Linked DNA regions of Macaca fascicularis. The protein of the gene in region 2 interacts with the protein of the main gene of each other region in a pairwise test. Links are inferred from orthologs where the notes say so. Each region holds a gene or a part of one and is shown on either strand. Other genes may lie near its edges. The genes, in order: NUFIP2, GRN, C10H22orf39, NLK, FAM131C, OTX1 and SMAD9.

Region 1 (3,500 bases), about 31 Mb from region 2:
CGAGGCTGAGGCAGGAGAATCGCTTGAACCCGGGAGGCAGAGGTTGCAGTGAGTCAAGATCACGCCACCGAACTCCAGCCTGGGCGACAAGAGACTCCATCTCAAAAAAAAAAAAAGAAAAGAAAGAGAGTTACTAGCGTGAAACTTGAAAGATATCTCGTTCCCTTTAAACTTGGGCTTTGGGGCTATAAAAAGGAGACTCCCAAGAGCCTGGTCTTGACTATGCTTATCATGCTTGACATTGTAATTTGTCTAACTTATTTTCTAGTTACAAATTGGCATCCATTACTCCTTTTAAGACTTATCAGACTCCTCTTCAAAAATAGTGCTTCTACTCATTTTAAGCAAATTAGAACTACTAAATGAGCTCACTAATAAAGAAGCATATGATACAAAAAGCAAAGGAGAAGCTGGGCGCAGTGGCTCACACCTGTAATCCCAGCACTTTGGGAAGCAGAGGGAGGCAGATCACGAGGTCAGGAGTTTGAGACCAGCCTGGCCACCATGGTGAAACCAGTCTCTCCTAAAAATACAAAAATAAGCTGGGCATGGTGGCACATGGCTGTAATCCCAGCTACTCGGGAGGCTGAGGCAGGAAAATCACTTGAACCCAGGAGGCAGAGGCTGCGGTGAGCCGAGATCCCACCACTGCACTCCAGCCTGGGCAAGAAAGACTCCGTCTCAAAAACAAACAAGAAGCTGGGCGCGGTGGCTCACACCTGTAATCCCAGCACTTTGGGAGGCCAAGGCAGGTGGATCACAAGGTCAAGAGATTGAGACCATCCTGCCAACACGGTGAAACCCCATCTCTACTAAAAATACAAAAACTAGCCGGGCGTGGTGACACGTGCCTGTAATCTCAGCGACTCAGGAGACTGAGGAAGGAGAATCGCTTGAACCTGGGAGGTGGAGGTTGCAGTGAGCCGGGATTACACCACTGCACTCCAGCCTGGCAACAGAGTGAGACTCCCTCTCAAAGAAAAAACAAACAAACAAGCAAAGGAGAAACAAAAAAGCAAAGGAAAGAGAACATATGTTCAATAAAATTTTTTTTAAAGCACTCGGTCAAAAGAAAATATAACATCAACACCTTTAAGCAAGTTCTCCTCACTTCTTTGAACCAGGTAGATCAATTATGTTTGTATTTTTAAAAACCATTTTAAGTTGGAAAAGTGAACATTTCTTCTAAGTTTTAATCATACTAGTTCCAAAGACCCTGAATCAGTTTGATGTTAGTTGCTTATCCACATTGTCATTCTCTTAAAATACTCTTAATATGAACAACTAATTCTCTTAAAATTCTTAATATAAATATACTAAATTGGCCAATAAAAATCTTTGCATAGGAAACAAATGAGTTACCTTTAGTGTGATATACAATAGCAGCCCTCAGGTCAAATGAACCCCAGCTATCATTCCTTTCTAGGCCTCTCTGGTATCTCTGTTCTTTGGCAGAGCCTAACAAAGTGTTCGTAGGAGAGGCCAGAGGATTTTGATTTTCTATCTCGTAGTCCTTTGAGAGAAACACTAAAGCACCTTGACTACTGGTGTCTGCTTTCTGCAGGTCACCTATATGACTGGGTTCCAAGGATAAGGCTCCACTCTCACTAGTAGTCCCAGATTTTAGAATGCTACCCAGAACTTGAGGACTAGTCCGTTTCTCCAGCTCATAAGCCTTGGGAAACACAGGATGCTCAGTTCCTGAGGGAATTATTTCAGCACCCTGTGAAACCAAAGTGGCAGGATATTCTCCTTGAAATGTCACCTCCATCACTTTATGCTCTGATGACTTCCCAATAACAGTCTCAGGGCCAGCACTGGGCTCATTTATAAATGATAAACCCCACTGATTCTGGAAGATATCCCCCAGGTTTTGCTGATCTGTCTGAGAGGGCAGATCCACTTGTGCTGTGCTCAACAGCATAGTTTGCATATTTGAAGGATAGATAAAAAGGCTAGTCTTAATTTGTTCAACAGCTGCTGAAGTTAGACTCATGTCCTGGAGAACTGAATCTGTCCCAGAAGAGACGGGTGTTAGAGTATTAGCAGCAGTAGTTAGCAGTGGCTGACCCCCTGGAGGATAAACATTTGCATCAGTTCCTGCTAAAACAGGCCCATTAGAAAAGTTGGCAGAAGTAACAGATTTCAGCGCTGACATAGGGACCTGGGACAAGCGACTTGATGACTGGGTCTGAGTTTCCCCAGTAGATGATGATGATGATGAAGATGAAGTTGGTGACACAGAAGAGTTTTGTATAGTTTTGTTGAGGTTTTCCTTAACTTTGCTTGCATAACTTATTTTAGGAACTATTTTAGCACTGCTATTGTCCACTGGAAAAACTGGGGGTGGTTTAAATAGGGTCCATGAGTCCTCTTTGGAGGCAACAGCTGAAGCATGCTTTCCTTTGGGCCGATCATCAAACTTTTTGCTGCTCACACCAGGTTTACTATCTGAGCTTTTCCGAAGCATATCACCCACAGCAGGTTTTCCTCGACTTGTTCCTCCAGGCCCAGTTTCATACTTCCAAATGGGCTTCGAACCATCTACTCGATTTCCCTTTTGTTCACTATAGTCAGGCTTGAAAGTTTCAAGTCCCTGTTTTAAGGTTGGGACAGTGGTCTCTTGTTGCATTATTTTGTCCTGTACTATATTAAGGTTTTCACAACCCTTAGCACTATTGCGCCTAGCTTTCCTTTTTTTAGGAGTTGTATATCCACTCTCAGATCCACTACCATCATTATCTGCTCCTTTACCCATATAACCATTAGTAATATAGCCAGAATTATTTGTTACCACACCATTTGGAATTGGTATAGTATCAGACTTATCTACAGACTGGTTCTCTCCAGATTTATTTTCATAAGACTTTCCATTCTTTTTGTCCATACTGTTTTTCTGAATGTAATTCTTGGTTTTAATTCCTGCTTTCCCAAAGGTGTTGGCCTTTACAGTCTGCTTCAGGCTAGTGTCTACAATTTGCTGGTTGCCATTGAGGACCCTGGAAATAGGGTTGGTGGCTTCATCAGAACTCAGGTTCTTTAAAGAGATTTCTCTTTCTCCAGCATTACCGTTTAGTTCACCATAGCCTAGGGGAGGGAAAAAAACGGTTTATTAAAAAAAAAAAAATCACAACATGTAAATTACACTAATACCTAACATTTAAGAAATGTTTATTTACTGTATGCTAGACACTATGCTATGAACTGTAGCTTTATATTATTTCACATCTCTATGAGAAGACACTTGTCAGCCCCATTTCACAGACTAGGAAATGCAATCTACTGCTAAGCAAAGCAAGAGGTAGAACTGAGCCAAAATTCAAAGCAAAGTCTGAGGCCAGAAAAAAAGACCTCTTAAGCAGTATGCCAAATACCTCTCATCTAACAAAATCAATCTACCCATCACTCTCACAAGGCTGTTATAAAATTTTCTTTTTTTTGAGACAGAGTCTCGCTCTGTCGCCCAGGCTGGAGTGCAGTGGCATGATCTCAGTTCACTG
Region 2 (2,883 bases):
GCATCCGGACACATGACTGAGCTGGACAAAGCCACTGGAAGAGAAGCAAGTGTGAGGGGCAGCCAGGGTGGAGGGAACTTTTTGCCACACTTGGAGTCAATGAGGCCCCACCCCAGCCCCTGGCCTGATGCTCTCCCACCTCCTCACCTGCCCTGTTACTCCTCTGGGCAGGGATCTTCTTTGCCAGTGGGTGGGTGCCCGTGGGTGTGATGCAGCGGGTGTGAACCAGGTCGCAGAAGGCACCATGCGGACAGCAGTGCACCCTGTCTTCACAGCAGGAAGCCTGAGAAAAAATGGTCCTGACTCCGTCTTCACCCCTTGCCCCTGGCCCCCACCCTCTGCCCCCACCTCCCTCCACGTACCCCCGTCTCCCCAGATTTGTACCTGGGGCATGGGGCAGCACCCCCAGGAGCCATCGACCATAACGCAGCACGTGGAGAGGTCCGGGCATTCAAAATGACTATCAGGGCACTGGACGGCACCCACGGAGTTGTTACCTGTGGACAAGGTGACCCGGGATTCTACCAGCCCACTCAGGGAAGGTGACTGCCCCATCGCGCACAGAGCTGGTGGCACCAGGGCCTGCAAGCCCAGCTACTGGGGTTTGGGGGTGACACTAGGGCTCAGTGATCTCCTAGGCATGCCTAACTCACCCTCCTCACAATCCAGTCCCTCCCTCAGCAAGATGGCATGGGGAAGGGGCACCCACTGATGATGGGTTGGCATTAGATCGGCTCAGCTTTACCTTTCCCCACCCCCACAATGCCTGGACTTGGAGTCTTGCACTTTCTCCTGCCCCTCCTATCCCCAGTGCTGCACCTCTGTCTACAGCAGGGGTGTTGCTTAGTACAGATGCCACATGAATGAGGGCACGAGGGCAGGAATCGGGGCTGCCCCGCCAGCTGGGCTCCTGGGTTCCAGGCTCTACATGCTGCCCGTCTGTCTGCCCTGCACCCACATCCCGGCTGCACCTGATCTTTGGAAGCAGGATTGCCCATCTGCACTGCAGTGGAAGCCCCGTGGGCAGCAGTGATGGCCATCCCCGCACGCCACGGCCTGTAGGACACAGAGAAACCGGCATTGGCAAGGCCCTTTTATCTGCAAGTGGGAGACTGCAGGAAAAGCATCAATGCAGACCTAAGCCCCTCCATCGGGCTGATGGCACGCTCACCTCTGGGAAGGGGCAGCAACGGGAAGTCCCTGAGACGGTGAGGATGCAGGAGTGGCCAGCAGAGCAGTGCGCACCAGCCTGGCAGGGGCCGCCCAGATGCCTGCTCAGTGTTGTGGGCCATTTGTCCTGGAAAGACAGGGGAAATGATACACCACAGACTTGTGCCTGGCATCCTCCTCTGGCCAATCCAAGATGACCCTCTGGGAAAACCTGCCAGCTTTTGCCTAGGCTGAGGGGCACTCACCAGAAGGGGACTGCAGCAGCTGTAGCTGGCTCCTCCGGGGTCCAGGCAGCAGGCCACAGGGCAGAACTGACCATCTGGGCACCATGTTCCAGCCACCAGCCCTACTGTTAAGGCCACCCAGCTCACCAGGGTCCACATGGTCTGCCTGCAAAGTACCAAGGAACATCTGGCAACTGCTTAAGCCCGTGCCACCCTTGATTCTAGGGCCACTCAGTACCCCAGTCCCAGGCCAAGGTCCTGGCCCGGGACTGCCTGAGCCTTCTCAACACCTCCCTGTCCAGGCAGGCAGAAAGCTGCAGGGGCTGAGCGTCAGCTTCCTACAGAGCCCTGTGTGTGACACATGCCCCAGCACGTGCAGACCTGTGAGCATGAATGCTGACATGCGTATATGTGTGGGCCTGAGTCCCCAGCACATGGTCTAATGCCTGGGCCTCACTGGGCAGGCTTATGAGAGTCACGAAGACGTGATTTTTTTTGGTCTGATCTGTGCAGATGTGGGCCACCTCTGGGGTGGGGGGGAAGGCATCAGTAGCCATGGGAGAGGACAGGGCTGGGGTGCAGGGAGGGAGGCCCCCCAGGAAAAGCCAGGGTTCCCCTCCAGATGCCTCCTTGCCTGACACTGTGTTCATACCTGCACCCCACTAAGGCCTTGCAGGAAGCGGCCACATGATGACATGGGAAACCACAGGGGTGAGAAAGTTGTGAAAAAGGAAGTATGGTGGCCAGTGGAATCTGGGCTGCCTTCCCCAGAGGCCAGTCACCACCTGGCCATGAATGTCCCCTCCTCACCCAGGGAAGGGGACACAGAAGGTGGGTCAGCCTTTGAGATACCTGTGTTCTGAGGGTACGCCACACCACCAGGGCTCTCTGAGATTCCCCAAGCATGCTAACCCCCACCCCTGCCTCTCCATCTATTCTGGAAGTAAAACCCAGCCACATGTGGAGAGAGACCACGTGTGCCCACTGGGCTGCCCATCTGAGTCACCAGGAGGAACTGAGCCTTGAGTTTCTGCGGAGAGCAGCCTCTCACTTCCTAAACAACTCTTCTCCCAGGCTCATCTAGCCCAGCTAGCTCAGTGGGGTGGCCAGAGAGGTAACTCGTCCTGAAGAAGCAAAAACAGTAATGTCTGTTGAGCCTCTTGGGAGCCAGTTACAAGACTCTGCATTATTTTATTTCTTTGCAACAACCATCCAAAGTAGTAATTAATACCTTTACTTTACTTTTATTTTTAGAGATGAGATATTGCTATGTTGCCCAGGCTGGACTCAAACTCCTGGGATCAAGCAGTCCTCCAACCTTGGCCTCCCAATTAGCTGGGACTTTGGGAGCGTGCCACCAAGCCTGCTCACCCTTTTTTTTTTTTTTTTTTTTTGAGATGGAGTCTTGCTCTGTTGCCCATGCTAGAGTTCAGTGGCATGATCTCGGCTCACTGTAACCTCCACCTCCCAGGTTCAAGCGATCCTCCTG
Region 3 (4,063 bases), on a different chromosome or scaffold from region 2:
TCTAGCTACTGTATCCCAATACAGACACGGGTCAGTGTATCACAACACGGGAGACCTTCGCTGTGGGCCCTTGGTAAGTATCAGGTGCTATGTGAGCCTCTTTACACAGATCATTTAATCTGTCTACGTCTGTCTTTGTTCAAGCTCTGTTGCCTCAAATAAAATATTTTGATCATGTTTAAAAAGCTATCAGAAATGTAGCACAGACTATTAAATATTCCCAAATGTCCATTCCCAATGTGGCAGTTAACAGCTTCCCTGATACCGTTTTTTGGTCCAAATTTTAGAGCTAACATGTTTCCCTAATGATGAGATAATCTTCTGCTGGCTAGTCTACTTCCTGCTTTTTTTTTCACTAAACAATACACTGTAGGCACTTTCCCACACCCAGGTAGATGACTGACTATTCCTTTCAAAGGCTATCCGGTATTTCACTTTGTGGAAAAAGCTAATTGGTCAAATGTCTATTAGTGAAATTTAGGTTGTTTTCAGCTTTTGCAGTATCAAAAACATAATTAGCATTCCGAACTTTTAACTGTACACTCTTATCCAATTACTTCCCTAGGATAAAGTTCCAGAAGTAAAACTTAAAGTCAAAAGGTATGCATCTGACATTTACATAATCAGAACACCCGACACCCCCACCAACACTGTACAACTACCCAGAATTCTTCAAACCCCCATCAACACTTAACGACTTTCTGCTGGGCAAAACCTGCTGTTACTGTCATTTAGACTTATATACCTGACACCTGGCCATTTGGTTTTTTTCTTTTTTGTTTGTGAGATGGAGTCTTACTGTACTGTTGGCCCAGGCTGAAGTGCAGTGACACGATCAACTCATTGCAACTTCTACCTCCCAGGTTTAAGCAATTCTCCTGTCTCAGCCTCCCGAGTAGCTGGGATTACAGGTGTGTGCCACCATCCGTGGCTAATTTTCATATTTTTAGTAGAGATCGAGTTTTGCCATGTTGCCAGGCTGGTCTCGAACTCCTGACCTCAGGTGATCTGCCCACCTTGGCCTCCCAAAGTGCTAGGATTACAGGCGTGAGCCAACCACGCCCAGGCTTTTTTTTTTTCTTTTTTATTATTTTTATAAAGATGGAGTCTTACCACGTTGCCCATGGCTGGTCTCAAGCTCCTGGGCTCAAGCGATCCCCTTGCCTTGGCCTCCCAAAGTGCTGAGATTACAGGTGCCCACCACCATGCCCACCTGGCTTTCTTTTTTAATGAATTGCTTCTTTGTGTCCTTTGGCCATTTTTCCATTCTGAAATAATCCCTATATTTCTTATTGATATATAAGAGCTCTTTATACACACACGCGCAGATATACATACATTAAAATTATCAATCTCTTGCTATACAGGCTGTCAGCTTTCTTACTTTTTTTGAGTTTCACATATTATGGAATAGTCATAATTTTCTTTTATACAGCAGTCTGGTTTCCACATCAGTTCATGTCTTTCAGATCACTGTATACACTTAACAATGTTGAAGTGTTGATCAGTCCCATTGATTCTCATTCCTTGGCACTCCCCATGAGCCTTGCACCTTTCGGCTGGCTTCTCTCCATCTCCTCTCTCACAAGGGGTCCACCGTAGGACTGTATATTCTAGACTACAGTGTGGGTGCCAGGAGGGCAGAGCCTCTTCTTATCACTCGTGCATCCCCAAGAGTACCCAATGTAGTACATATTTGCTGGATGAATAAACAACTAGAACCACCTCCTTACCGATCTCTCTGCTCCTGTAAAATACTCTCTACACCCTAGCAAACAGATTGAACTTTTTTCCTCTTTTTTTTTTTTTTTTCCTGAGACAGGTCTCCCTCTGTTGCCCAGGCTGGTGTGCAGTGGCGTGACCATAGCTCACTGCAGCTCTGAACTCCTGGGCTTAGGCGATCCTCCCACCTCACTCTCCCAAGTAGCTGGAACCACAGGTGCACGTCACCACACTTTGCTAACAGACTGATCTGTTAAAGATATAAATCGAATTATGCTTCCCAGCACACTTTAGACTAAACTCTGAACTCCGTATCAAGGCCCACCAGGTCCCTGGTATACCGCTTTCCAACCATCCACCTACCCTCTGCTTCAGGAACACAGGCCTTCTCTGTTTCTCAGCAGTGTCTACCGGGGCTGGATGAAGGCTGGCTCCTGGTCACCCAGGACTCAGCAACATCATATCCTGCGTAGGCCAGCTGATGACCCTAACATTGGACGGTTGCCCTCTTTGCTCTCTAAACCACTCTACACCCTCCTCGCTGGTCTCCTTAGTTGTCTTTCACGCCCCCTGAAAGTCCTGTTGATATGCTAATTTATACCAACTCTCAAAAGAAAGGAAGCGTGAGGAGGGTAGGGACCTTGACAGTTCTCGGCTAGGTCGCGGGGCCTGGGGCGTGAAGGGGTGGGGAAAGCTGGGCCCTGCAAGGCGCTCCGAAGCGCCGCCCCGCTCCCTCCCGGCGCACCTGGGCCTCGGCGCTCCGGCGCTTCTCCCAGTCGCGGCAGCTGGCCAGGTCGCGCCGCCACTGTTCGCAGGCCGGCCGCTCGCCGTGGACGTAGTAGTGGTGCAGGAAGTGCCTGGCGCTGCGGCAGAGCTTCCACTCGGCGCGGTAGGCCTCGCAGGGGCGCGGCGGCTGCGGCGAGAGGCGGCGCCTGAGTGGGGGCCGGCGGCCGCGCCCCACGCCCGGAGCCTGTCCCGTTCCCTCCCTCCGGAAGACCCTGGTGGTTCCCGGCTCCCGAGCACACTCACCTGCCAGCCGCTGCCGTCCGCCATGTCTGGGCGACCGGGGCGCCAAGCCAGCCCCTCAGTCCGCCAGCCAATGAAGAATGAAGAAAGCGGCACCTCGTGATCGACTGAAAGAATAACTAATAAGCACCGACACATTCAATTACAGTTTCGCCCCCATCTTAGAGAAGCTCGGACAAACAGGACGAGCAACCAATAGCAACCGAGGGCGGCTGCGGCGCGCGGAGGGCCAGGGTCGCAGGGTAAGTCCGGGACGAGGCCTGGCGCGGAGCCTACTCGGCCACCGCGAAGCCAGCGCCATTCACCCCGGGCCATGAGGGCATCCTGGGCCGCGCAGCTACCTTTTGCCAGTCGCCTCTAAAATCACACTGCTCTGGCCAGTTCTTTTTAGCAGCTTTATGAGATTTTCTCAAATCTCAACAATGCGGTTTATTTTCAAAAGTATGTACTGAGCATCAAGTTGGTGCAGCGAACCTCCCAGATCTGCAGCTCTGGCGGTCTTGTCTGAGCGTCCACTCAGGATGGAGGTGAACTCACAAAGTAACCAAGGTTGGTTGGGCATGACGTGTGGTGGATCTAGGGTTGGATGACCTGCCCAGGGAACGCAGGCTTGAAGTGGAGGCTGAGAAGGCAATCCGAGCACGGCCATAGGCCGGTCAAAGGCATGGAGGCGGTGTGTAGCACGGGTGAGTGGGGTAGGAGTGGCTTGGATGTCTGTAGCTCGATTCTAAGGGTGCGGGAGACATGTAACATTTACCTTATTTATTTTTCGAGACAGGGTCTTGCTGTGTCACCCAGGCTTACGTGCGACCTCGAACTCCAGGACTTTGAACAGCTGGGACCACAAGCATGCACCGCCTCACCAGGCTAATTTTTAGTTTTTTTTTTGTTTTTTTTTTTTTTTTTTTTTTTTTTTGGTAAAGATGTGGTCTTGCTAAGTTACTCAGGCTAGTTTGGCCTCAAGCGATCCTCTCACTTTGGCCTCCCAAAGTGCTAGGATTATAGGCTGAGCGACAACGCCTGGCTGCAACGTTTATAAAAAGGAGCAATGCACAAGAGGCAACAAAGGCAAGTAAAGGGGAAGCTGGTGGGCTTGCAGAAGTGCCCACTGGGACAGACTCCCTGGAGGTGGGTCAGAAAGCTGCAGTTTTACCACGGGTCCTGCTGTTGAGGCAGCTGGCTCAAGGACCAAGCCCAAAGAAGACACTGGGAGGAAGGCTGCAGGCCAGGGTGCAGGAGTAACGACCAGAATCAGTGCTCCAACTGGCCCCACTAAAAGGCCCTGGAATGGAATCCATCCTGGTCCAGGCAGGGG
Region 4 (3,500 bases), about 32 Mb from region 2:
AACATTCACACCTGAAATGAAAGCTAAGCTCTCCATGCTTGGGCCAGTGTACATCCTTTACATTCTAGTCATGCTAGAAATCTCTTACACTGCCAGAAAACTGTGATACTTAGAAAATATGACACTGCATAAGACCGCATTTAGTCAGCTGGACACAATAAAAGAGACCAATAAAACAGTCTTCTTGCAAACAAGTCTTTGGGTAGCAAACTATCTTACCAATTTTCTGTAGTGTCACAATTGTTCTAACTTCATAACTAATTATCAGTAACATTTCATTTGGATTCCTCCAGGATGGGAAATTCTTACCTAGAGAACACTTCTTTTCCTGGTTCTGGGCATGCCGAATATAAAGCACTATTTATCTAAACCATGGGGTAGCCATCAGCATCACCACCCTACAGGTTAATGGAGAAACTTGAGAAGCTTGCTTTCCACAGAAGTAAAGATCTCTATACAAAGCTTTTTGGGAAAAGTACGTAGGTGATACTTTTGGATCTCTAATAACCACACTAAAGGCAGAAGGAAATGACTAGCTTCTAAAAACAAATTGAAACATTCAGAAAGTTGTCTAAAATGGGTCAGATCCATAGATGAGAAACACTTTTATGATGTCTGTTAGTATTGGGTAATTAAATCTCAAAGATACAGAGAAAATACAACAGGAAATAATGACTTCCATTAGAAGTTAGAGCCTTTTCCTATTTTAGATCTTCATTTCTCACCCCAGCACACACCAACAATTAGACAGACATGAATTCTCCTGTAGTGGCTATGTCAGACTGCCAAACTGAAGATCTATGTATTTCTCTAGCAAATGAGATATCTGAACTCCAGTCCAGTTGCTTCACACTTTCCCTCACATATTTTTTGCAGCAGCAATTCAAGATTCTTGTTCCATATATAGGATTTGAATACCTCATTATTATTTTTTACTTAAGCTTTTCTGTATGCAAGGTAGTAGTCACATTCATTTTATGACAGCTTATGTCCAGATATGAGAGTCTTATAGGTTAAGTCTGTTAAACTTTACTTTCTAAAGAAATTGAAAAGTGAATATTGTCAATAGTACCCAACATTAGATGACATATTATATGTACATAATTTTTTAACACCAGAATCAATTTTTAAGATGTAAAATGTAAAAAAGACAGTTTGAATGTATAGCATAGAAAAATTTAAATGTTGATAAAAGCAGATATAGTTTCTAACCTATTAGGTAAAAATTCTTTGTAGAAAAAGCATAAAAGAAATAATTCTGTTTGGTCAAGTGCATGAATTATTTACAAAGACACAGTAGTCAGTGTGATCTTTTAAAATGTCATTAATCAAATCTTAATATTCCTATGGTCAAAACCTTCATTTACGTTTTCTATCACACTTGGAATAAAATCTTAAGGCCTTATCATGTCATCATGGCCAGGTTCTTTCTCACTTTCTGACCTCATCTCCTACAGCGTCTTCCATCACATGCCATCCCTCCAACATGCCATGCTTGTTTCTGCCTCAGGGGCTTTGTTATGGTGGTTGTCCCTCTTCTTGTAACTTCTTCAGCATCTTGCTGCCTCATTTTATGTGGGTGAAATGTTATCTCCTCAGAGAATCCTTTAGTGCCTGCTCTGCTCTGCCACCATTCTCTATCCCTAACCTGGCTACATTTTTCTTTATGGAACTTCCATTACTTGGGATCATATTTATTTGCATACTTATTTTTGTCTCATGTGAAAGTTTCACAAAGGTTAAGAACAACGCTGTCTTATTTACTGCTGTATCCCCAGCGTCCTGGCACACTACTACCACTATCATAATTGCAAACATTTACAGAGTGCTTACTATGTGCCAGGCCCCATTTTCAGCTTTCCTGCTTCATTGTACAATAATCCTCAGAACAGTTTTAGGGGCCAAAAAACCAAAAAAAAAAAATAGAAGAAGAAAAAAAAAAGGAAGAGAGAGGTTAAGTAACTTACTCAAGATTTAACATAAGTGGTGTAGCTAGGATTTGAACCCACCAATCTGAGCTCATGGTTACTACATTATTTTCATGCAAGCGAATTAATAAAAATACCTAGTAATTATCCCAAGAAAATATGCGTAGTAGTGAATAATTACCTTTAAAGACAATTAAAGTAACATGTAGCTAACAAAGTAGCTTCTAAAGGATTCTCTGAGAGTATATTTTAATCATCTCCTGATGTTCTCTGCCATATTTAGATATTTTAGTCCAATAATAAAAGTTAGAAATTTTCCTAAATGTTCAGATTTCAAGAAATCAACACAATAAAAATTTACATTCTAAGCACAAAGTGTAAGTACATTAAGTCACCAATACATTTTCAAGTCAGAGCCATTCACTTAGAAGGAAAAGAGGCCTTCTAACAACTGAAGATTATGCCTGTGCAAATTGTCACAGCAGAGCTCGCGGCTATGCATCAGTGCATATAATAATGTCAACAGGCCGGGTGCGGTGGCTCATGCTTGTAATCCCAGCACTTTGGGAGGCTGAGGCAGGTGGATCACCTGAGGTCAGGAGTTCGAGACCAGCCTGGCCAACACGGCAAAATCCTGTCTCTACTAAAAATACAAAAACTAGCCAGGTGTGGTGGAGCGCGCCTGTAATCTCAGCTACTTGGGAGGCTGAGGCAGGAGAATCGCTTGACCCTGGCAGGTGGAGGTTGCAGTGAGCCAAGATGGCACCATTGCACTCCAGCCTGGGCCACAAGAGCAAAACTCTGTCTCAAAAAATAAATAAATAAATAAAATAATAATTATAATAAATAAATAAAGTCAATACACACTCTAAAGGCTCATAAGTTACAAAATGAATCTCTCTGTAATCTTCAACTTTTATAACTTTCTAAATTTTAAGTGAACCTGAATTTCCTAAAAGCAAATTAGACAGTATAATGAATAAGCCCAAGACACATGTGCAGGATGGATTTTTCCTTCAAATCTGTAATAGAATTGAAACTAAAGCCTTAAATTGAAATCATACCTGCTGAATGGGACTCTGTGCCTGAAACAATATTCTTCGTCCTAGTAGTTCTGCAAAGATACATCCCACAGACCAGATGTCAATAGCATTGCTGTAATGACGGCTGCCCATCAGGATTTCCGGAGCCCGGTAATACTGAGTAACAACTTCCTGAGTCATATGACGGGATTCATCTAATTCTTCCACTCTGGCCAATCCAAAATCACAAATCTAAACAGAAAAGGCAGTCAAAACATTGTCAAGCAAATACAAATGAAAGAGTAAAACAAAACATCAAAACCTTGATAGGGCACTGAACTTTGAAACTTTTTTTTTGAGACGGAGTCTTACTCTGTCACCCAGGCTGGAGGCACAATCTCAGCTCACTGCAACCTCCGCTTCCCGGGTTCAAGGGATTCTCCTGCCTCAGCCTCCCAAATAGCTGGGACTACAGGTGCCCGCCACCACACCTGGCTATTTTTTTTTTTTTTTTTTGTATATTTAGTAGAGAAGGGGTTTAACCATATTG
Region 5 (3,500 bases), on a different chromosome or scaffold from region 2:
CCACCCCCACCCACTGTTTCATCAGACTCCTCTCCCCCAGGGCCAGCAGGACTGTGTGCCTGGGCTGGGCACAAAGGATAGAGGGATGGGGATGTCAGCTGGGGCTGGCTAGACTAGGGGACACACAGTGCACTGACCTGCCAAGGATCCCAACAGAAATCCATCTGTTTGTCCTAAAACAAGAGGAGAGAGAGGATCAGGTAGGGCCTGGCACGCTGTCCTGGCAGATGGCCCGAGTCCTTCGGCCCTGGGCGGGGATGGGGGTCAGCCTTCTGGTGCTCCGTGAGGTCGGGGTCTGTCCTCTCATGGGTCATGCTCTGGTGTCCCCCGGCATGCAGAGTAAGAAGGGGGGGCAACAGTGGTGCTGGGAGGAGAGGCAGCGGGTGCAGCTTATAGAGCGGGCTTGGGTGTGGGCTCTGACTTTGCCAAACATGTCTCTTCCTCTGCAAAATGGTGGCAATGTCATTCACCTCACGAGTTGTGGTGAGGCCTAAATAACATAATGGAAGCTGAGAGCTGAGTGCGGTGCTTAGCAGGAGGGGTGTGCTGGTGGGGGGATGGTAATTACATCAACTGGTGGGTTCATGCCACAGACCCTAAGGCAAGGGTGGAAATTATGCACCAGAATTTGGGGTCCTTTGTGATCCTTAGTGACATCTTCTAAATCAATCTGGACTGAGAAACATATGTAAAATTTTAATATATATTATATATAAATTATATTCATATAAATTATATATAATATAGTATACAAAAATTATAATATACAATTTATATATAATATATAACATATTTATATATTATATATTTTTTATATTTATATTTTATATATACTTATATATTATATATTATATATTATATTTATATTTTATATATACTTATATATTATATATTTGTATTTTATATATACTTATATATTATATATTATATTTTATATATACTTATATATAATATAATAGATTTTTTAAATTATAATAGATAATTATATATATTACATAACATATATAACATTCGTGAGGCTGCTCAGGAATAGTGGGCTGGTAGCAGAATGTGTTGTCTGCAAGGCAGCGTTAATTTGTGCAGGAAGACCTTCAGGATGGACGGTCTTCTAAACAAGCCTGGTCCAGCCCCTGGATGCTCAGCCCAGTCCAGCCTCTCATGCTGCTGAATATCAGGCCTTAGGGCCCCTGGTCCCACAGGGAGAAGAGGGTTTGGCAGGGAAGGAAGGAGACTGGAATGGATTCTGCTCCCTGCGGGGAGCTGTAAGGGACAGGCCGGGAACTGGGGCACAGGCAGCACAGGGATGAGGAGCAACCAGTTACCTTGCCAGTGACAGGGTCTACAGCCATGGTGGGAGTGCGGCCCGAGGGCAGGTCTGGGTTCAAGGGGTCCGTGCCCTGGGGCATGGGGCAGTCCTTGTGGGCACTTGTGAACAGGTCTGGAAATAAGAGCAAGAGGAGGAACTCAGCAAAGCCCAGCTCTCTCTTGCTTACAAGGCGTGTTCAAGGCCCCCCCATAAGATGGGTGTGGCCTTATTTTTATCCAGCATCATTGTAGAGGAAGCCGACTCAAGTCCACAGCAGGGGAGGGGTCCAGCCAGATGCCCTCCTGCCTGTGCCCCTCAGCGGGAATCACTGGCCTCATCTTCTTTTTACCCCCTTTTCACAATTTCTAGCACCCACACTCCAGCATGTTTTTGGCCTCTTGGAGACGTTTAATCCATTTGCCCTGGTATTTCCCGACTAGCTCCTCTTTTGCTCCTGGCCCAGCTGACCCTCAGACACGGCCTCTGAGCTCTCTCTCGCAGACGCCCTTACCTCTCACCTGGGTTTAAGTCTGACCCTCTCGCCCTGTGCCTGGATCTGAGGAGCTAAATGTTGCTGGAGAGAGTGACTGCTACGTGCTAGATTGTAGCCCCAGCCTCCTGTGGGATGCTGCCCGGATCCTTCCCTGTTTCTCCATTTCCTGCTGCCTTTGTTTCCTGCCAGGCTGACAACTTCACCCCAACCTTCCTTCTCAGACATGAAACACACTCCCTCCCCTACCCCACACACTGCTGGGGGCTTCTGCCCCTCCCTCACTGGGTCCAGGATCCTTGGAAAGGTGTCACCTGGATCTTTCCACCCAAATCACCAGAGCCCGCCTGCACCTTTGCCCACATCGTCGCCTTTCCCTCCTGCAACAAAGGAAGAGCTGTTCCTGCTGCACCCAGGACCTTCTGGCCCATCCACCCAGGGCTGGGTCCTGCCCCTGCCCTCCCCTCAGGGGCTCTGCTCTCCCTCCTGTGGAGTTACTGCTCTCTCCACTCCGTCCGCCTTGAAGCATTCAGCCAGCACTGCATATGCTGCCATGCTTCTTGGGCTCTGGACCTTCTCCTGCATTCTCACTCCTCTGTCCCCTTACCACTGGGTGGGGCCATCAGCATCCCAGCATCTCCTGTCTTTTGAGAAGCTTGTGACCACTGTTTCCCTCCAGCGACTTAGCCGTTCCTTTGCTCCCTTCTCGCGATGTGCAGAGAGCTGTGTCCCACCTCTACTTCCTTGTCCTCCAGTTCTCCTCCACCCATTCCAAGCAGGCTTTCATGAGGCAGCCCTTGCCAAGCTGCCAGGAACCTCCATGGGGCCAACTACAGTGGGGGCCGCTCCAGCCTCTTCTTGGAGCTAGAGCTGTGCTGCCTGCCTGCCCTCTTGAGCCTCGCTCTTATCCTGGCCTCTGGCCTCTCTGGCTGCTGTCCTGGGTCCCCTCTGTGACTCCTCCCTGGCTCACCCCTGCCCATTGGCTGGCACCACACTTCCGTCCTGGCCCTTCACCACCCTCTCTCAGACCCAGGAGGCCTCACCTTCGTGTTTCCGCTGCCCACTGCCCATATGCACACCTCCAGCCCTGACTCCTCACTTGAGCTCCCAACTGAGTTTCCAGCTCTCTACATGGATGCCCAAGGGGCACCTCAAGCACACCTGGGCAAAAGAGGACTCCCAAATCCAGGTCTACCTTCCCCGGGTCCCCCACTGCACCAACTACAACCCTAGGAGTTTCTCAGGGTCCTGCCTTCCCCCATTCTCCCAGGGACCACCCAGTAAACCGGCAAATCCTATTAGCCCTCTCCTAGGTCTATCCCAGGTCTCCCCGCTCCCTTCTCCCAGGGCTCCCCTGCTGCAGGCATCCTCCCTCCCTAGAAGACAATGGTCCCTGCGCTCACTTGCTGCCCGCCAGCGGAGGGACTTTATGCTCTAGGCCAGATTGTATCACTGGGGTTAGGGGACCCTGTGGGTGCTGCCCCCAATTCCCCTGGATTCCTTTTTCCTGTTTTTGCCCCCATGCCCTGCATGGCTTCTAAGAGGCACCACCTGTGGCTCTTTCTACAGGGGCTGCCCTAGGTAAATTTCTGTTGGCCCCACCTGGAGCAGCCCCACGCCAATGACTGCCAGGTGCAGGACTCCTTTGTCTGGGATCAGAAAATTCCCCTTCACTTACCCTCCAGAGTACCCTGCAGGATGAGG
Region 6 (4,298 bases), on a different chromosome or scaffold from region 2:
CTAAGAAGATCTCCCGGGTCCTTTGAGAAGCAGTTAAGGAAACAGTGTGCCCTCCATCATATTCTGTTACCGTATTTTATTCGGACTCCAAAGGAAAGTGTCGCTTGGGGGAGGGGGAAGCACTTTGATGAGCGGCGGCCGCGGCCCCTTTTCACTCAGCGGGCTCCCCCTTCCTTCTCCTCCTCCTCACCCAGCGCCCTGTCTGCTCTCCGCGCCCGACCCCGCAGCCTGGGCAGCACGGGTGCTCCCCACTGCGATGCGCCTGGAGGCTCCTTGACTCGCCCTCACACTTACTCCTGTGCAAACTTTTTACCCCGCCTGTCGGGGTGGGGGAGTGGGGAGATTAGAAACAAGGGGTAGAAATTCCTCGAAAGGGAATAAAGTGCCTAATTTTCAGAAGGAGGTGCCATTTAAAAGATTCTCCTAGCTCAGAGTTGGAACGAAAACTCTTTTTTGCACTTTTAAAAGTCCACCCAGGCAGACGTGTTTGGGAAGTTTGTTCCACTGGGAAATGGGCTTCGCCCGTACGAACAATCCGGGGAAATCGCCTCAAGGAGGCTCCTTACGCAGCATGTGGAAAAAAGTTGAGGGCAGGGGTCTGTGGCCACATTTTCCATCAAAAAGTCCCTGTTAGAGGCAGACTAGGAAAGAGAGAGAAAGAATGAAAAAGAAACTTTCCTATCAAAATGTTTGAATTAAGAAGTAGGGTGTACATGTGAGGGCAAGAGGACGCTGGGCTCCAACGTTTCAGAAGAAGCGCTTAAGGCTTGCAAACACCCTTGGTGGGGACCGGGAACCCCGGGAGATGCCGATGAGCAGGTAAGTGGCTGTGCCCTCCCAGTGGGTGCTCTTCCCAGGCGCGAGAGTCCCGAGGCGCCGAGGAGAGATCTGCACGCCCGGAGCTGCTCCCGCGCTCTGCAAAGTAGCCTGCGCCGGCACGAGCCGCCCGCGGCGTCGGTCTCAGGTGGCGGTGCAGAGGAAGAAAACGCTGGGGCCCGCGGCGCCAGGAGAGGGGCCGAGGCCCGGGCTCCTCCAGCCCGCCGCCCCCGGGTCCTGGCGCCCACACCCGGGCGGCTGAGCCCGGTGGCGCGCAGGAGAGCGAAGGAACCGGTTCTCCAGCACCTCTCCTCGTCTCTGCCACTCCCTCCGGAGCGCCGAGAGCGCGAGAGAAGGGCGGGGGCGCCCAGGGAAGGCCTGGAGACCCGCGGCCCCCTCCGCGGCCAGGACTCGGGCTCTCCGCTCGCCTTCCTCGCCTAGCTCTGAGCCGCTTTTGCCAGCCGAGTCCCGGAGTTAGCGCGCGACCGGGGCGGGGCGGGCGGGAGGGGAGGGCGGGGTGTGGGGGGCGGGGGAGGGCGGGGGCGCGCGGAGGTAACCCCCGGCTCGCGCTGCCATTGCCCGGCTCCCTGTCACTCAGCCCGCGCGGGGCCCCCGATTGGCGGCCTAGCCCCGTTACGCACTCGCCTCGCGTTCACATACCCGGGGAGGGCAGTAGAAAGGTGATCAATCTTCATCAGGCTACATTTCCAATCACCTAAACAACCGAGCAAGACAAGCCACTCCGACAAGGTAAATCGCTTGATTTATTTAGTTTGCAAAGTGACTCTGCAGGACTTCCCAGTCCCCACTGCCTCCACGTTGCACCGGGAGTGCCGCGGTAACGCCGAGCCACCTCCCAACTCTGCCCTCGAATTCCCCCCCTTGCGGCCCCTCGGCGCGATTCCGGGCGAGGCAATGTCCTGCCTGAGAACGTGTGGGGCTTAGCAAACAAAGTGTCTGTGCAATAAAGTGAAACCCAGAGGGACACGCACAAAGCCACTGAAAAAAAAAGATAGAGGTGGGAGGAAGGAAGTTGGGAAAAGAAAGAAACCCGGGGTCCTAGACCAGCCGCCGGGGTAATTCCTGTGCCGCTCTGTTTTGCAGGTTGGCTGCCCGGCGGGTCTCTGTGAGAGATCCAGGTAGATGGTGAACGTCCCCGGCAGCTGAGGGCAGGTAAGGAGAAAGCCGCGGGACCATCCCGGACTCCGGGAGCGCGTTGGTTACCCTTACCTCCCCCTCCTCAAATGGATCCCCACTTCCCCGGTCACCAGCAGGTGGGCGGGGCTGGGGGAGCGGCCTAGCTCCCCTCTTGGTGAGCCGAGGACCCCGGGGCGCTGTCGCGGCCCGCCGCTCCCTCCCCCGCCTCCTCCGAAGTAACCAAGCTGAAGTGCTAAGTTTGGAGAAAGTCTTTGAAAACTCACGCTGCAGCTTCGCAAAGCCGTCGCAGCTTTGAGTCCCATTTTTCTTCGGCCCTAGAGCCCTGGCTGCTTCTCTTCTCGTCCCCTTCCTACAAGCTGGACTCCCTCAGCCCAGGTCTTGGATCCCAGAAGACCGGGGTGGGAACGGGGCAGGGGGGAGCTTCTTTAGCTCTAACTTCTCTCCCTGAACGTCCTAGCCCGAGTCCCTGGCCTGCTTCACAGCGATCCCGCTAAGCGGGGTGTAGCAATGGCCCCCCAGAGCCCCAGGCCCAGTTTCCAGCGCCCCTCCCTGACCCCTGAGAGTGCCGCCCCGGGTTCCCGGCAGCGGCGGGGGCGAGGCTTCCACCTCCCAGCTCGGGTCTGCGTGGGCTATGCCGCTGAGGCCTACTTCTCTGTTCTCGACCGTGTCCTGGGGCCGCGGGTTCAGCTACAAGGATGACAGCACGGGACTTGCTGCCCTCCGGCTTTGCAAATCCCCGAGACCCTTTGAGGTGCTAGGTCAGTCACCCTTCACCCCCTGCTGGGACCCTGTGGTCCGCAGCACAGACTGGACAGAGAAGGCCGGGTGCGCGCTGGCAACGAAGGACGCTGGCCGCAGCTGAGACGCTCCCGACCTCAGGCCGCGTCTTGGGGTCGCCCCCCTCTACAGTGGCCTCTTCGGCGTCCCCTGGCCCTCTGCGAGGCCTGGGCCGGTTACTGCGGTTGAGGTGTGGTGGGATTTCGCGTCAGCGATCTTTCAGTGGCTGGGCACAGAGAGGTCAGCTGGAATGGTGATTGCGGGCTCTGGGGCAGGGGCGCAGCCCTGGAGACCTTTGAAGGAACCAAGTGTCCTAAGTGGACAAGAGGTTGAGGTGCGGTTAGCCCTCCACATTGCCTCACCTTGGCCCTTTGTAGTCTCTACCTTTTCAAAAACACGTGAAACAAAATGAAACAACCCCTCATGCTCCGGGAGGCCTGCCGTCCGGGCACCAAGTGAACGTTTGCTTGTGCAACATGAAGCTGGCTTCTGCCGGATTCAGAATTTTGCCTGGACTTGGGAGCTTGCACACTCCGCGGTTCTTGCTCTGACCTCCCCAGCCTGGCCTGGCTTTGACTTCTCCTTACTCCTATGGACTCCCTACCAGTGTCTTTGGCTCATTCCAACGCTGGAGCCAGACGACCCAGAAAACTTTACTTTTCAAAGCAACTGTGGTTTCTGGGCTAAGGCCTTGTGGATTCCAGTTGACCACCCTGCGCAGTTCTGTAACCTGCCTTCCCTGTCTATCCCGGGGCAAGACTTGGCAGCCAAGTGGCTCCGATTGATGGTTTCCGTGTGTCTCGTGTCTTCATAGGCCAGGCCCCCAGACGCATCAGACCCTGAAGGACTGCGGTGGGAGCCCTGCACCGCTTCTGGCCCCAGGTCCCCTGGATCCGTCGGGGCGCCTCCACCCAGCTGTTAGCATGATGTCTTACCTCAAACAACCCCCATACGGCATGAACGGGCTGGGCCTGGCTGGGCCCGCCATGGACCTCCTGCACCCATCCGTGGGCTATCCGGGTGAGCACCAGCCCTCCCGACCCTGCTTCAGCCTCTCCAATGTTGGGGCCCCCCAGACTGTTGGGTTTGAGTGCAAGCTTTGTTGCCGAGCAGGCCCAGGGAGTCAGCTATTGCAATACAGGGCCCACTGCCTGTTTACAATACAGGGCCCACTGCTGGCGCACGGGGCAGAGTCGTGGGCATGTGAGGTGGCCAGGGCTGAGAAAACGCGCAATGTGCGCCTTCCTGGCCGGGTCACCGGCAACCTTTCTCCTGTTGTGGTCCCACCACCAGCGCAGAGCTCATTTACCTGCGGATTCGCTACCCAGGGGCGGCTAGTGTTTTTCCTTTTCCCCCAACATGGAATGAGTAATCTGGACACTCGTTAGGCCCTGACAGAAAGAGCCAAACTTTCCTTATGCGAAGCGGCAGGCTGGACTGAAGGAGTATTCTTCCTTCCTAATTAAATTGTCCTCTAAATTGATGTCCTGCATCCGTTTTTGCACTGCTGTAGAGGACGACCTGAGCCAAACCCGGGGTTCTTTAGC
Region 7 (3,500 bases), on a different chromosome or scaffold from region 2:
TCCACCCAGCCACCGTCTGCAAGATCCCCAGCGGCTGCAGCCTCAAGGTCTTCAACAACCAGCTCTTCGCTCAGCTCCTGGCCCAGTCAGTTCACCACGGCTTTGAAGTTGTGTATGAACTGACGAAGATGTGCACTATCCGGATGAGTTTTGTTAAGGTAAGGAGTGCTTGCTATCACATTATAAAATGTTCAGTGAAAAACAAAACAAAACAAAAAAGCACCCTGACTGATGTGGCAGTTCTGCGGTCAATTCAGATAGACAAAACCAATTTTTTTTTTTTTTTTTGAGACGGAGTTTCACTCTGTCACACAGGCTGGAGTGCAGTGGCATAATCTTGGCTCACTGTAACCTCCGCCTCCCGGATTCAAGCGACTCTCCTAACTCAGCCTCCCAACTAGCTGGGAGTACAGGCGTGCATTACCACGCTTGACTAATTTCTGTATTTTTAGTAGAGACAGGGTTTCACCATATTGGCCAGACTGGTCTTGAACTTCTGGCCTTGTGATCCGTCTGCCTCGGCCTCCCAAAGTGCTGGGATTACAGGTGTGAGCCACCGCGCCCAGCCCAAAAGCAATTTTTTTGAATTCTGTTGTTTTTAGGAGGAGTTCCTCTTTGAGTATAAACTGTCTTGTTTAGCAATTATATGAAAATTCTTACACATTACTTTTGAGGAAAAACAAGTAAGGTGGCTCTCTGTTTTTAATGCAGATGATAAAGTAACAACAGTAATTTTACAGGACTAGTGCAACAGAGATTTTTCCATCCTTCAAATTGCCAAGCACTATTATCACTCAGTGAGTGTTGGCGAATTTATCTGAATTCAGTAAGATACTCTCCTTACTCTTAGAAAGCATACAGGCACATGGAGGAGATAATATTTATGAATAAGCTACAAAATAGGCAGGATTGGTTCTAATACAAGACAGCAAATTAAGTAGTGTTATAAAGGTATAAACAATCTGGAATAGAAACATGAGGCGGGTGTGATTAATTCTGAGAGTAGTATATGTTCTGTTGATGAGTATTTGTTGAATTTCTCGAATCTTATTAGGGTTGCTATGAAGGCTGGAGAACCAAGGAAGTTTCTTAGTGGGAAGGAAAAACAACTGGGTTTGTATATGGAAGCAAAAGCCTTCAGTTTCATCACCTGCTATTTTATCTGTTGCAAAGTACTCGCAAATCAGTCTAATATTTCAAAATCTGGGCTCATCAAAGTATCCGGGTATGTGTGAGTTTTCATACTGCCATGCCTCCATCCAAGGAATCAGCATGGCTTGTTCCAGGCATTTTTTTCAAAGTAAATTTTATTAGCACTTTAAAATTACCATGACAAAGAATTTTTCTACACTCAAATTTTGTTTTTATTGTTTATAATTTTAGTAATTATTTAAAAACTAAGAACAATATAGTTTCCAATTTTAAAAAACAGCTGCTTGAAATTATTTCTCTTTCATGGTGACAAAGCAGTTTCATCCAAATTTAGTGTTTTAAAAGCATCTATTATAAAGTTATATTAACAAATAACTTGGAAATCTTTTTAAATGTTCTGTTGCTTTAGAAACGGCAGAGGGCATCATTTGAATCATACAGTTTTTTTTTTTCCAGGTCTGTGTTTTTAAAATTAGGATGAAATGCCAATATCTCATAGGTAATTATTTCACTCTAATTAAATATAAGCTTATATACAAATCTGATTTTCCTGATAACTAGATACATTTCTCAGATAGGCAACATTTAAATTCATAAAGCTACACAATTGACACAGAAGACAAACCTGTTCCTAATACTGCAGGAACTTTTAAAATAAATACATAGTAAATATAACTATAGATCATTTTTTTAAACATTTGAGATGAGCAACTGTAGCTACCACTGGGCTAATGGATCAGATCTCTTTAAGGTTTCTTTCAGCTCTGATTTTTACCGATTCTAGGACTCATTCAGTCAGTCAACAAATATTTATTGAGCACCTACCATGTGCAGCCAGGCGTGTGGGACATAGCAATGTTCACTCACAGATCTCTGCCCTCAGGGAACCAATATTCTAGGAAGGAGAGAGAGATAATACACAACAGCCATAACACAGAAGAAGGATGGAAAGAGAAAGTGTGGGGCAGGGTGAAGGGAATTGGAGCACGGGGGCAGTGGAGTCATCTGCACATCAGGGTGGGCCTCACTGAAAAGGTGACAGGTCAGCAGAGACTGGAAGGAGACATGGAGCTAGGCCCAGGGACTTCTGGAGGAAGAGTAGAAGCAGAGGGAAGAGCAAGGCAACAGCGTACACCTGGAAATTCTGAAGAGCAGGCAGGCCAGTGTGGCTGGGGCCTAATAAGCAGGGGGAGCGAGATGAGAGCAGCTGCAGGGAACCACAGCGAGGCCTCCTGAGCCACTCCTTGGAGTTTATCGGTGGCTCTCAGGAGGTGGCGAGCTTTTGCAGGGATCGGAGCAGAGCATTTTCATGATCTGACTTCTGTTCTTAAAGGATCGCCCTGCCTGCAGTGTGGAGGATAGGTATTACACAGACAAGGTTGCAAGTAGGGAAACCAGTTAGGAGGCTATTGCAATATTCAGATGAGAGTCGCCCTCACCTGGAGGGATCCAGTACAGCTGTGAGAAGTGGAAGGATTCTGAATTGTGAAGGCGGATGAGGCGTGGGGGTGAGAAAAAGAGGAAGATGAAGTTAGTTGCCTTCAATCAAGATGAAGATGCAGGTGTATTGAGATGTCTGTCCACATTCAAGTGGAGTTGCTGAGTAGCCAGTTCGATGTAAGAGTCTGGATTTGGGGAAAGAGATTTGGGCCCGAAATACAAGTTTGGGAATTGTCAGCAAAGGGACAGTATTTAACTCCCTAAGTCTGGATGAGAACACCAAAGGTTTGAGTTTAAACAGAAGGGCCAGGAGTGGTGGCTCACGCCTGTAATCTCAGCACTTTGGGAGGCTAAGGTGGGTGGATTGTTTGAGGTCAGGAGTTCAAGACCAGCCTGGCCATCGTGGCAAAACCGCATCTCTACTAAAAATACAAAAATTATCCAGGTGTGGTGGCGCATGCCTGTAATCTCAGCTACTTGGGAGGCTGAGGCAGGAGAATCACTTGAACCTGGGAGGCAGAGGTTGCAGTGAGCCGAGATCGCACCATTGCACTCCAGCCTGTGTGATAGCCAGATTCCGTCTCAAAAGTAATAATAATAATAATAAATAGTAAATAAAAATAGAGAAGAAAGGGGGCTCCAGGACCGAGCCCTGGGACACTTCAACATTAAAGATGGGACAGAAGGGACAGAATCAGCAAAGAAAACTGAGAGACCAGCCAGTGAAGTAGTAATAAGACCAAGAAGTGTGGTGCTTTGGAAGCCAAGAAAAAACAGTGCATTGATGAGAGGGTGTGATGAACTAAATCAAATGCTACCCACGTAACACAAAGGCTGAGAGCTAATAATTCATTTTTACAATATGAAGGCCTTTTTTGATCTTGACAAGAAAAGTTTTGTTGGCGGCT

What was found.
Region 1: the proteins of GRN (region 2) and NUFIP2 interact in binary tests that used the Homo sapiens proteins (3 or more experiments, as listed by UniProt). The link is inferred for Macaca fascicularis from reciprocal best matches to the Homo sapiens genes GRN and NUFIP2.
Region 3: the proteins of GRN (region 2) and C10H22orf39 interact in binary tests that used the Homo sapiens proteins (3 or more experiments, as listed by UniProt). The link is inferred for Macaca fascicularis from reciprocal best matches to the Homo sapiens genes GRN and C22orf39.
Region 4: the proteins of GRN (region 2) and NLK interact in binary tests that used the Homo sapiens proteins (3 or more experiments, as listed by UniProt). The two-hybrid records come from large-scale screens. The link is inferred for Macaca fascicularis from reciprocal best matches to the Homo sapiens genes GRN and NLK.
Region 5: the proteins of GRN (region 2) and FAM131C interact in binary tests that used the Homo sapiens proteins (3 or more experiments, as listed by UniProt). The link is inferred for Macaca fascicularis from reciprocal best matches to the Homo sapiens genes GRN and FAM131C.
Region 6: the proteins of GRN (region 2) and OTX1 interact in binary tests that used the Homo sapiens proteins (3 or more experiments, as listed by UniProt). The two-hybrid records come from large-scale screens. The link is inferred for Macaca fascicularis from reciprocal best matches to the Homo sapiens genes GRN and OTX1.
Region 7: the proteins of GRN (region 2) and SMAD9 interact in binary tests that used the Homo sapiens proteins (3 or more experiments, as listed by UniProt). The link is inferred for Macaca fascicularis from reciprocal best matches to the Homo sapiens genes GRN and SMAD9.

Annotation. Positions count from the first base shown.
Region 1 is NC_088390.1:34,772,674-34,776,173, forward strand, and holds part of NUFIP2 (FMR1-interacting protein NUFIP2), read right to left. Parts: intron 3,088-3,500; coding exon 1,363-3,087; intron 1-1,362. UniProt on the Homo sapiens protein: Binds RNA.
Region 2 is NC_088390.1:65,410,746-65,413,628, reverse strand, and holds part of GRN (progranulin), read right to left. Parts: intron 1,561-2,883; 5' UTR 1,554-1,560; coding exon 1,416-1,553; intron 1,298-1,415; coding exon 1,172-1,297; intron 1,057-1,171; coding exon 972-1,056; intron 498-971; coding exon 385-497; intron 284-384; coding exon 148-283; intron 35-147; coding exon 1-34. UniProt on the Homo sapiens protein: Secreted protein that acts as a key regulator of lysosomal function and as a growth factor involved in inflammation, wound healing and cell proliferation. Regulates protein trafficking to lysosomes, and also the activity of lysosomal enzymes.
Region 3 is NC_088384.1:33,400,944-33,405,006, reverse strand, and holds the start of C10H22orf39 (synaptic plasticity regulator PANTS), read right to left. Parts: upstream 2,801-4,063; 5' UTR 2,776-2,800; coding exon 2,752-2,775; intron 2,636-2,751; coding exon 2,468-2,635; exon of another isoform or gene 2,086-2,467; intron 1-2,085. UniProt on the Homo sapiens protein: Negatively regulates long-term potentiation and modulates adult synaptic plasticity. Stabilizes the interaction of RTN4 isoform A/Nogo-A with its receptors, inhibiting clustering of postsynaptic AMPA receptors at synaptic sites.
Region 4 is NC_088390.1:33,624,123-33,627,622, reverse strand, and holds part of NLK (serine/threonine-protein kinase NLK), read right to left. Parts: intron 3,203-3,500; coding exon 2,993-3,202; intron 1-2,992. UniProt on the Homo sapiens protein: Serine/threonine-protein kinase that regulates a number of transcription factors with key roles in cell fate determination. Positive effector of the non-canonical Wnt signaling pathway, acting downstream of WNT5A, MAP3K7/TAK1 and HIPK2.
Region 5 is NC_088375.1:219,039,419-219,042,918, reverse strand, and holds part of FAM131C (protein FAM131C), read right to left. Parts: intron 1,439-3,500; coding exon 1,323-1,438; intron 174-1,322; coding exon 138-173; intron 1-137.
Region 6 is NC_088387.1:58,901,118-58,905,415, reverse strand, and holds the start of OTX1 (homeobox protein OTX1), read left to right. Parts: upstream 1-1,498; 5' UTR 1,499-1,566; intron 1,567-1,920; 5' UTR 1,921-1,989; intron 1,990-3,565; 5' UTR 3,566-3,674; coding exon 3,675-3,771; intron 3,772-4,298. UniProt on the Homo sapiens protein: Probably plays a role in the development of the brain and the sense organs. Can bind to the BCD target sequence (BTS): 5'-TCTAATCCC-3'.
Region 7 is NC_088391.1:16,402,204-16,405,703, reverse strand, and holds part of SMAD9 (mothers against decapentaplegic homolog 9), read left to right. Parts: coding exon 1-158; intron 159-1,054; coding exon of another isoform or gene 1,055-1,093; exon of another isoform or gene 1,094-1,230; intron 1,231-3,500. UniProt on the Homo sapiens protein: Transcriptional modulator activated by BMP (bone morphogenetic proteins) type 1 receptor kinase. SMAD9 is a receptor-regulated SMAD (R-SMAD).